3 linked regions of the Kluyveromyces lactis genome follow. The protein of the gene in region 2 interacts with the protein of the main gene of each other region in a pairwise test. Links are inferred from orthologs where the notes say so. Each region holds a gene or a part of one and is shown on either strand. Other genes may lie near its edges.

Region 1 (3,213 bases), about 810 kb from region 2:
TTCTAACCTTAATATTAGATGAGCCAGGTACAATGTTTCAAGAGACCATGATTTCCGTTTGTTGATTTTTCTTGTCACGTGATCGATAAAGTCACTTGAAGACTTGCCTCGACATATATCCATAAACACTCTTTGGGGTTTACATACAGTGTTTCGCCTAATCCCAACCTCCGAATGCGCTTGCTAACGATATGGACACCTTTCTGCTATTGTGTATGATGAACCATACTTTTACAGCTTCCTCAGTAAGAAGCCCCAAACATCAACTAATCAAAGTCACGTGCCGGAAAAATTTTCTCTCATTTTCGATTTTCCCCGGCATTTCTTCGTCTGCACCAATCTCATCGAGCATGAATCGGATCCTCATTCGTTGGCTCTCTCGAGAAATATTTCAATTTCGTTGATTTCAATTTGCAGTAACTTTCTTCTTTCCATGCACTTTATTTCAACTTCTGGGGTTAGCGATTGCTTATGTTCCATTGATTCTTAGTTCATAGCAGGATCGTACACAGAATCACGTATTAACTAACTCGAGAAAAATGTCTAACACTGAAAGAACTTTCATTGCTATCAAGCCAGATGGTGTTCAAAGAGGTTTGATCTCTAAGATCTTAGCTCGTTTTGAAGACAGAGGTTACAAATTGGTTGGTATTAAGTTGGTTACTCCAACCGAAGCTTTGTTGAAGGAGCACTACGCTGACTTGGTTTCCAAGCCATTCTTCCCATCTCTATTGTCTTACATGACTTCTGGTCCAGTTTTAGCTACTGTCTGGGAAGGTAAGGATGTTGTTAAGCAAGGTCGTGCTATCTTGGGTGCTACCAACCCATTGCAATCTGCTCCAGGTACCATCAGAGGTGACTTTGCCATTGAAGTTGGTAGAAATGTCTGTCACGGTTCTGACTCTGTTGAATCTGCTGAAAAGGAAATCGGCTTGTGGTTCAAGAAGGAAGAACTTATTGACTACAAGTTGAACCAATTGTCTTGGATCTACGAATAAATGTAACGTTGACAAATTGTTCACTTTATCAATACATATTCTTTCCCACAATTATTCCATATTTAAAGATGTCTTTTCTTATATGATGTGTATCTGTGTGTCGGTATTTATTACTATGTAGATATATCTCAAATACACACATTTTGAAATCCATTAAGCTTTATACTGCGATGTTGTATTCATATTTGTAACCCCGACTTGCGTTGGGTATATTCACGTTTCTACCAGCTTACTGATACGATTACGGTTCAATTTGCATTTATGTTTGTCATAGTATTATTTTACTTAATTGCACTAAAAAATTTCAGTTAGCACATCTGTTCTTCATCACAAATGCATCCCTAACGAAAACATGAGCTGTTATCACAATACCTCAGACAAGATCCTTCAGTAAAACTGCGTTCTTTCACGAATGCTCTCTAAGAAAAGAAATAGAAGGAGGTACCGGAAGAGGAGTGCTGACTCTTCCCGTGAATTCAAATTATGTATTCGATCTTTACCACCAAATTTAACAGAAGAGCAATTCATCAGCACTTTACAAGAGAACAACATCGATGTGCATTCATTTCAAAAATCATTCTACTACGTGCAAGGTCATTACTCCAGCAAGGTGTTCAAGAAACAGACTTTGTCTAGGGCATATATCCAATTGGACTCCTTCGAAACCATTCAATCGTTGTCAAAAACAATAAGAACATGCAGATTCATAGATGATTTGGATAACTCGATGATTCCAGATTTACAAATCTCGCCGTTCGTTAAGAAGTGGGTCAGTCCCAACGAGGTTAATCCTATTCAAGGCACGATTCAAAAGGACCATGTCTTTCAAACCTTTGTCAAATCATGGAAATTGATTAATGAAGATGAAACCAACTCATTACAGTTCAAGAATTTAAGTGTTATTGCACCTTTAAGAAAGGAATTAGAACGTGAAGAAAAAATGGAAGAAGAGTTAAACGGACGTAAGCAAAGAGCACTAATAGAATTGGCTGGTGATCCAACAAGCGAAGAAAAGAAGAAGAGGATCAAAAAGATTAAGAAAAAGTTAAGACTATTAGAGAAGAAGAGGAAGCTGAAACGTGCTAAGGCAAAGAACAAGGATAATCCGGACGAGAAAGATGTTTCTAAGGATAAATCAGAAGTTGAGAAGCCCAAAAAGTCTAAATCCAAACACAAATCCAAATCCAAATCTAAACCTAAATCGAAATCTGAACCGAAATCATCGAAATTTGACACTGCGACAACTGAGAAGAGTGCGGTAACATCCGAAGAAAAGCCAAAGAAGAAGATTTTGTTGAAACCAAAGAAAGATGATGTTCCCAAACCAGAGATGCCTGCAGATTCGGAGGTAACGAAGAGAGCAAGACGTAAAAAATCAAAGAAACATAAAGACAAAGACAAGGATGTAAAGAAGGATTTAACAAGCAAAGAAACAAAGGAAACTCCCTCTAAAGTTACTCCTAAGGTAAAAATAAAGTCTAAATCTGCCAATGTGGAGGAAATGAAATCGGAGAAGCGTAAGCAGGAAAACACTAAGCCAGAAAAAAATCCATCAAGTGAATCAGATAAGAAAGCTAAATCAAAGAGAAAAAGTAGAAAAGGAAGGCAGTCTGATGGACCTAAACACAAAGACAAACCAACTTAATATGCAGACATCGCACCAATGGATGGCATCTCGATATTTTGGCTTAGTTCTCTTTTACGTGCCCTTTCATTTATTCAAATGTGCAGAATATTATTTCTGATCTCTGACACTTGATATTTAAAGGGAGTGTGACAGGACTTTTTAATATTAGCAGCTTTGTGGACTAACAACAAATTCATTTTGCAAACTCAACTAAGGATTATTACACACGCATATCACTCGCCATAATTTTCATCGATCGATGGTGAATATTAGAACTACAGAATTAGAAGGAGATTTAGCACAGTTGACCTATGAACTTGGGTTGAAGGATAAGGAAGTCATGACTTTAAAGCAAAGTCTGGAACGCCTCAATGCTGAAGTCGAGAAGCTAAGAAACGAGAACAGAGGCTTGAAAAGCGAATTGGAACATTGGAATAAACTACCGATGAGTCCAATATCTTTGTCTTCAGAAAACGATCAAACTGAGGACGATAAAAACCGAATGATTCAAGAGAATTTGCGGAGAGAGATTCTTTCCTTGAAGAATGAAAGTAATATTTTATCAGAATGGATCAAGACCCTTATTTC
Region 2 (4,126 bases):
CAGTCATCGGTCTTTGCAACGTTCAGGATCAGAGCAGGAATTATAGCTTTGGAACGATCAATCGTAGAGTGGAAGGATGATCAAATGGCAACCCAATGCGGCATATGCTCTCAGCCGTTTGGACTCTTGATGCGGAAACATCATTGTAGATTATGCGGTCAGATCGTGTGCGATAGACAAGAAACTCGATGTTCCAGCGATATTCCAGTCCTGAACCTGATGAGTGCGGCCCCAGACCTTTCCTTCGAGAATGTCGGGAACTTAAAAGCAATATCAGACCTTTCTACAGGAGTTAGAATTTGTTCCTCCTGTCTGAGGTATGTCTTTGCAAAGCGTAAGCTCCAATTTAGTAAGGCATTGAAACTACCGGAAATTTTACAACAGTACGAAAATCTCCACAACCTCGAAACGCTTGTAGTAAATTTACTCCCCAGATTCCAGAAAGCATTAGATTCGATACATAATGCACCCGCTTCAGATGAGACTGCGATTCAAAACCTAGCACAATTAAGAAGAAAGCTATTACAAAATTTAACGCTTTATGACAAATTATCAAAAAGCATTGTTCAGTTGGATACAAAATCAACAGCAGAGAAGAAAATACAACAGTCAATTGCCCTACATGCATCAGCGTTCATCGAGGAGAAAATGCTACCCTTGAAAAAAATACCAGAAATCTTGAACCCTGTGTCACAGAAAGTAGAAGTCACAACATCATCGGATCTTTTGTTCAATAATTTAACAATTGCGGAAGTAAAGAAGTACAGAGAAGAACTTATGGTTTTGAATGAACAACGATACTTAGTCGAAAATATGCTTAATTCAGCTGCCAAGGAAAGGCGCTTCGAGGAAGCGATATCCTTGAAAACTAATCTTTCAGAAATTGATCAGAACATAGTGCATTTAGAAAGTAAGCTAGGTGATGAAGGCTTTTAAAATTATTATTTAACACTCAATTAGGTGTATATTCTATTGAACCATATAAACACTCTTCTATCACAAGCACGATAATATAAATGCAACCAAAACTCTATCCGTTTCGCTCTGTAACTTATTGTCGAGATGCCAGTATGAGAAAGCCCTTTGAATAAAAAAAAAATCCTGTGAAATGTTAATTCTACCAAAGTCATCGAACAAAAGTTCTGTTGAAATCACGTCACAGCGACAGCAAGAACTTTACGCACCGACTTTGAACCTATCCAATCGTCAAATAACATAATGAACGTATGTGTACGCTTTTAAGTGGTCGAGAGTTTTCGAGAATACTAACAGAAAGCCTTGCTTTTATGGATTGAATTTGTGTTTAGAATGAATGGAGATCAAGCTTGAATGAAATTAACAGTATGGCGTGGACCGGGATTGACGTATTCCCTGATAAAGCCAAGAAACTTGATTCTAGTATTAAGAGGAATACGGGTTTCATTAAGAAGTTGAAGCAGGGTATTGCAAAGGAATCGAAGACAGGTTTACTCAACGATATCAGAGAGGTATCTTTGGAGAAGTACCTATCAGAAATCATAACAACTACAAATGAAGCATTATTTAAGAATAGTGGTAAGGGTGATGATATTGTTGCAGTGGTGGAGATAGTAAGTGGGTTGCACCAGCGGTTCAATATGGATTTTACGTTACCCTTGATAGAATCGTTCCTTTTCATATTTGAGACGTCTTCTGATGAGGCCGAAACTGAAAAGGATAAAACCACCAGAACCAATGTTTTGAAAGCTTGCACTCGTGTACTTATTGAATTACATTTGACTGGGGTGCTGCCGAGTTTAGATGATCTTAACAAGAGTAAATTGCCTCCTTTTGTTGTAAAAAGATACTCCAAAAAGGAACCAATCGTGTTTATAGTATTAAGAGAGGTGTTAAATTATAAGTTCAAGGAGGCTTTAACAACACCAGTAGCAATTTTGATCTTAAAGAAGTATCCTGAATTACTCTCTGAAGAAGTATCTGATATGGACAATTTAATCAACAGCGAGGAGTTGAAAACTCTTTTGAGATCGTTATTCAAAATCTACAAAGATATTGTGTTCCAACAGACGGTGGAATTGAATAAGAAAACCATTAAGCTTATGAAGGAACATCATAAAGCACAAATACGAACTGGTAAGGAATCCAGTGAATATCTTGATGATTTTAATGAGCTTAATCCAATTTTTGAAAAGTTCTCTACGGTTGCAACGGCGCTAGCGGAAGCCTTTAACGTGGATCCACCAGAACTTTTAGATATAGAACAAAGTTTAAAAGAGCAGGAGCCATCCATAATTACGCCTGCATCTGACTGGAAGGAGAAGCAAGAGCCAATTTGGGAGAACGAAGAAAACAGGAGGTTTTATGAGAATCTGGCTGATTTAAGTGCCGCCTATGCTACTTATGACCCAGAAAAAACACCAAGTCCAGAAGACGTTATAGCATTATTTGCTGATTTTGAGACAGTAGAGACTAAAGATGAAATAGATGAAATTTCACGTCGTTACTGGTTGCAAAATCTTGATAACAAAGCGACAAGAAAGAGACTCATGAAGTTTTTCGTGGAATGTAAAGACTGGAGTAAAATCTCTTTATATGCAAGGTTCATGGCAAACAACGAGAATTATCTTTCTGAAGTTAAAGAAGAACTAATTCAATACCTTGACTCAGGTTTCAGATCGCAGTTGCATTCTAATAAAATCAATATTAAGAATATCATTTTTTTCGCGGAGATGGTTAAATTTATGTTAATACCATCATTCATGATTTTCCATAAAATTAGGACATTGGCGATGAATATTACAGTTCCAAATAATATCGAAATCTTGTCGACCTTGTTTGAAAGTTTCGGCAAGTTCTTGATCAATACGCCAGAATTCAAGCCCCAAATGGAGAAGATGATGGTATTAATCAAAGAAAAGAAGAAGGACCATTTATTAACCGTTAACAATAAAGCTGCATTGGACAATCTGATTATATTGATATACCCGCCTCAGCTCAACGTACTCAACCAGGAAAAAAGAGATCTTTCACCTGAACAACTTTTCTTTATTACTTTGATCCGTCGGGAATTAGATAATGTTTCACTCAATTCGGCCCTAAAACTAATTCTAAAAGCTTCGTGGAATGACCCAAATGTGGAGAAAACATTACTATCACTGTTCAGCAAACCTGAAAAAGTAAGCTATCAATCTCTACCGAAACTTGCTAATATTTTAACGTATTTGTTCAAGCACTACAAGAGCTTTACGATCAAAACAGTAGATACTTTGCTTGAGAAGATTCAGGTAGGGCTTGAATCGGGAGAATATAGTCTAAACATGGCCAGAGTCTCACAAGTAAAGTACCTAACAGAGCTATACAATACTTCATTCCTTAAGTTTGAAGTCCTTTTGGATACGATGTATCGAATTCTCCGTTTCGGTTATCCTAGTGGGCAGCCTAATCCTTTCTTCATCAATGAAGGAGACTTACCTGACAACTACTTCAGAATATCATTGATTTCAACAATCTTATTGGGCATAAACCGTAAGTCTGAATTTGCATTGAAGAAACTAAAGATATTCATTCAATTTTTCGAGTATTACATCTTCTGTAAGGATCAGCCTTTACCGAATGAAGTTTCATTCAAAGTTGAAAATGTCTTTGCGTTATACCCTGACCACTCGAGGTCATCGGATTGGTCTCAGTGCTATGAAAAACTTATCTTGCTTTTGAAGGAGCTGGGGGTGACTTCTGCCGAAGCCATGACTAGTACTGGTAGAGGCGAGAATGAAGATGTAGATGATGATGATGAAGACGATGATGATGATGAAGACGATGATGATGATGATGAGAATGATGATGAGAATGATGATGAAGATGAGGACGAGGAAGAAGTTGATACAGCACATGGAACTATACGAGTCCTTGACAACATTGAAATTGATTTGGGACTAAACGAAGCTCAACTAGAACTCAGTGATATATCTTCCTTATCTGATGGCTCAGCTACTGATGATAGTTCTGATTCGGATAATGGCGATGAACAGGATATGAATGATTCATTAGAGAGTAGTGCAGAAGAAGTCAGTGACGACGACGAGGATGAAGAAAATGATGATGAAGACGATGAAGAAGATGAGGACGACGAAGACGATCAAGACGATGA
Region 3 (4,362 bases), on a different chromosome or scaffold from region 2:
TAATATCAGTTTATCAATCCTTTTTCCATGTTGGATGAACGTCTGGAATCAGATGAAGGAGTAAAGCCTTTAGTGTGCCATTGTGGTTGTCCCAATGAAAGAGGCTCCATATTTGAGAGATCAGTGCAGGACCCCTTTTGCTCTACTTTTTACAATGATGATCAAGAACCACTCGAGATACACAGTCGTGCAGAAGATTCACTGTATGAATTGAATCCATTGCAGGAGGAAACGCTGTACTATAAGATTCCCAGTGATAATGAAGAAGAGTTTCAGGAGGTAGAGCTTGGAGGGAACCCATTCCGTTCGAATATGATGCGTGGAGATACTTCTTTGAAGGGGAAAATTGGATCACCATCAAAGTGTGGTTGTGTGGTATGTTCGAACTGCCACGGGCTAAGGAAACCTAGATCGAAATCGTCCGCTTCTTACAATGGATACAGTTTCTCGCTAGATTCAAACCCAGTCTCAAGGACAAACAGTATAGTCATTCCATTGTCTAAACAACCCACAAGACAGAGCATTGCTTCTTCTGTTGGATGTCTAGATACAAACAATACCATAAATAATAACAGTCTCTCTTTTGGATCCCCAACTAATATCACTGACGAGGGCGCAATAGATCCTAAATCTTCCAATGGATCAAGATCGTCCATTAGCTTATCTACAAATGCCATTCCAACACACTTATACAGCTTGGAGAGATACGTAAGTTCTGAATTGGATTCAGCGACGGAATCCTTCTTTGATAAGTCAAAACAATTGTCAGACGAAGCTTCAACTCATGGAACAGAAGACACCGTCTCTTCATCGTTGGCAAAAATGTCATTACGAACTTCACCTCAAAGTTCAAATAGCACAATTGCCAATCCAAACACCTACACTAATAGAACCATACCAGAAATACCGTCAGGAACTCAATCAATTAACCAATATTCATCTTCACATCCACCACCATTTTTGGACGCAAGAAAAAGAAGAAAGTCTTTCATTGAACAGGCTTTATCAGAGAGTTTCTCATAATAAAATTCACAACCCCAGTCTTCAACCACCCTCAGTTACCCCAATCATAATCATCAGTATACCCTCATGCATCAAATATATAAACGTAATAGGACATAGACTGTCACCTAATCACTATTTAATTACCCGACTTTTGCATGCATTTGCTGATTCTTTTTTTTTTTTTTCAGTTTGTGTACTTCACATCTCATCTCACATCTCATCAGAAAATGCATCAACTTCCATACATAAAAGTATTTAATCATAATATGCTTCAACAGTTATTATTTCCTATATCACTTTATCTGTATTTTCAAGAAGTTCTGTAAATTGAGCATCTATCAATGTGCTGAGTAACATATTTTGATTTGTGACTCTGACTCATTTCTTGCGAACTTTTTTTTTTGGTTAGTTCGATCTATTCTGTTCAAAGCTATTCTTTGAAGTAGATTGTACACGACTGGTGCCTTTATTATCTCAGTACAATTAGAATCAAGTTTCCTTATGACGATGCGTTTGCCAAATGAACCGTTTGATTCAGATTCGGACTCAAACGAATCTGTTTCTTTGAGAGACGATGACGACAAAAACTTTTTCTACGATACTGATGAGATGCTGGACGAGGAATACTCTGAGTTCCACGGCACTGCTGCTAATACAGATCCTATTGCGGAACATGCTTGTGCATATTGTGGTATTGATAATACTTCATGTGTTGTCAAGTGTAACATTTGCAGCAAATGGTTTTGTAATTCGAAAAATGGTACTAATAGTTCCCATATTGTGAACCATTTAGTTTTATCCCATCATTCTTCAGTTTCATTACATCCAGACTCAGAGCTAGGAGATACTACTTTGGAATGCTACAATTGTGGACGTACTAATGTGTTTGTTCTTGGTTTTGTTCCGGCTAAGAGTGAGGCTGTTGTGGTCTTGTTGTGCAGATTGCCTTGTGCTAAAATGAAGAATGTTAATTGGGATACAGATAACTGGCAACCACTTATTGAAGAAAGGAAGATGCTATCTTGGGTGGCAGAAGAACCAAGTGAAGAAGATCAGTTGAAGGCCAGGATGATTACTCCATCTCAAATTACGAAATTGGAAGCAAGATGGAAATCAAACAAAAACGCTACAATTATGGATATTGATATGGTCGAACAAGATGAAGATATTCCTCCGACTTTGATGAGATACACTGATGCTTATCAGTACCAAAGATCATTTGGTCCTTTGATTCAGTTAGAAGCAGATTATGATAAGCAATTAAAGGAATCACAGGCCTTAGAACACATCTCTGTCACATGGGATTTAGCATTGAACAACAGACATCTAGCTACTTTTGCATTATCCACATTCGAATCTAACGAATTAAAAGTTGCCGTTGGTGATGAGATGATTTTAAAGTATAGTGGTCCACAACATGCAGATTGGACAGGAAAAGGTTTCATCATCCAGCTACCAAACAGTTTCAAAGATGAATTTACTCTTGAATTGAAACCAAGTCAAAAAACTCCACCAACTAATTGTACTACAGGATTTACAGCAGTTTTTGTATGGAGGGGAACTTCTTATATTAGAATGCAAGAAGCGTTAAGAAAATTTGCTGTCACCAAAAAATCATTATCAGGGTTCTTGTATTATAAGATATTGGGCCAAGAGGTTCCAGATGTGGAATTTGATGTAGAATTACCCAAAAGCATTTTTGTGCCTCACTTCACCGAGTTAAACCAATCTCAAAGTAATGCTGTGAAGCATGTTTTACAAAGACCTTTATCATTGATCCAGGGACCTCCTGGTACCGGTAAAACCGTCACTTCAGCTACCATTGTTTATCATTTGTCTAAAATCCACAAACAGCGTGTTTTAGTTTGTGCACCATCTAACGTTGCAGTGGATCATCTTGCTGCCAAGTTGCACAGTATGGGTTTAAAGGTAGTACGATTAACTGCTAAAAGTAGAGAAGATGTGGAGAGCTCAGTGTCCGAGTTAGCATTGCATAACTTGGTCAGCAGGTCTGCAGAAGGTAAACTCAAAAAACTTCTCAATCTTAAGGAAAAAACAGGGGAACTTTCCTCATCGGATACCACGAAATTTGTGAAGTTAGTGAGAAAATCAGAAGCTACCATCATTCAAAAAGCTGATGTTATTTGCTGTACTTGCGTCGGCGCTGGTGATAAAAGATTGGACTATAAGTTCCGCACAGTATTGATCGATGAAAGTACTCAAGCGTCAGAACCTGAATGTTTGATCCCTATCGTCAAGGGAGCCAAACAAGTTGTTCTAGTTGGTGATCATCAGCAACTTGGTCCTGTCATTTTAGATAGAAAAGCTGGTGACGCTGGTTTGAAACAATCTTTGTTTGAAAGATTAATTTCCTTGGGTCACATTCCTATTAGATTGGAAGTCCAATATAGAATGAATCCACAATTAAGCGAATTCCCAAGCAACATGTTCTACGAAGGTAGTTTACAGAATGGTGTCACCATCGAGCAACGTACTATTGCAAGATCTACCTTTCCATGGCCAATTCATACTATCCCTATGATGTTTTGGGCTAACTATGGTCGTGAAGAGATCTCAGGCAATGGTACTTCCTACTTGAACAGAATTGAAGCCATGAACTGTGAAAAGATCATTACAAGACTATTCAAAGATGGTGTCAAACCAGAACAGATTGGTGTTATAACTCCTTATGAGGGGCAGAGAGCATATGTTGTACAATATATGCAAATGAATGGTTCGATGGAAAAATCATTGTACATGGGCGTTGAAGTGGCATCAGTAGATGCTTTCCAAGGTAGAGAAAAAGACTATATTATTTTGTCTTGTGTCCGTGCCAATGAGAGAAACACCATTGGTTTCTTGAGTGACCCACGTCGTCTAAATGTTGCGTTGACTCGTGCTAAATACGGTCTAATAATATTGGGTAACCCAAGGGCACTATCTCGCAATAGCTTATGGAGTCATCTACTACTTCATTTCAGAGAAAAGGGTTGTCTTGTTGAAGGGTTTTTGGATAATTTACAACTCTGCACAGTCCAATTGACGAAACCTTCTAGGGCACCCAGGAAAGCCCCATCCAACAACAGTAGTTATACACAATATGCTGGTCAGAGAGACTTTGACACTCAAAGTTTGGTCTCATTCGGTGGCCAAAACGTCGTTGAAAAATCTTTTATTCCAAACACGGACTTGTCTTCGTTATTGAACCAACAATATTGGAATGGACAGTCTTTTGATACACAATCGCGCTTAAGTGCTACGCATCCTGTTAACCAATACGATAAAGACGCGGTCAATTTTGATGGAAGTTTATCCAATGGCTTAAGGAAGTACAATGGAGTGGGCTCAAAGTATCAA

What was found.
Region 1: the proteins of NMD2 (region 2) and UPF3 interact in binary tests that used the Saccharomyces cerevisiae proteins (3 or more experiments, as listed by UniProt). The link is inferred for Kluyveromyces lactis from reciprocal best matches to the Saccharomyces cerevisiae genes NMD2 and UPF3.
Region 3: the proteins of NMD2 (region 2) and NAM7 interact in a two-hybrid assay, tested with the Saccharomyces cerevisiae proteins (8 studies listed by BioGRID, with this or other methods). The link is inferred for Kluyveromyces lactis from reciprocal best matches to the Saccharomyces cerevisiae genes NMD2 and NAM7.

The regions. Positions count from the first base shown.
Region 1 is NC_006040.1:317,315-320,527, forward strand, and holds UPF3 (Upf3p), read left to right. Parts: upstream 1-1,410; coding exon 1,411-2,643; downstream 2,644-3,213. Other genes in the region: YNK1 (nucleoside diphosphate kinase), read left to right, coding at 540-998; KLLA0_D03740g (uncharacterized protein), read left to right, coding at 2,885-3,213; KLLA0_D03751g (uncharacterized protein), read right to left, coding at 3,207-3,213. UniProt on the Saccharomyces cerevisiae protein: Involved in nonsense-mediated decay of mRNAs containing premature stop codons.
Region 2 is NC_006040.1:1,125,365-1,129,490, reverse strand, and holds the start of NMD2 (Nmd2p), read left to right. Parts: upstream 1-1,218; coding exon 1,219-1,224; intron 1,225-1,307; coding exon 1,308-4,126. Other genes in the region: PEP7 (phosphatidylinositol-3-phosphate binding protein), read left to right, coding at 1-936. UniProt on the Saccharomyces cerevisiae protein: Involved in nonsense-mediated decay of mRNAs containing premature stop codons. It interacts, via its C-terminus, with NAM7/UPF1.
Region 3 is NC_006038.1:566,402-570,763, forward strand, and holds the start of NAM7 (ATP-dependent RNA helicase NAM7), read left to right. Parts: upstream 1-1,506; coding exon 1,507-4,362. Other genes in the region: MBR1 (Mbr1p), read left to right, coding at 28-1,023. UniProt on the Saccharomyces cerevisiae protein: RNA-dependent helicase required for nonsense-mediated decay (NMD) of aberrant mRNAs containing premature stop codons and modulates the expression level of normal mRNAs. Also capable of unwinding double-stranded DNA and translocating on single-stranded DNA.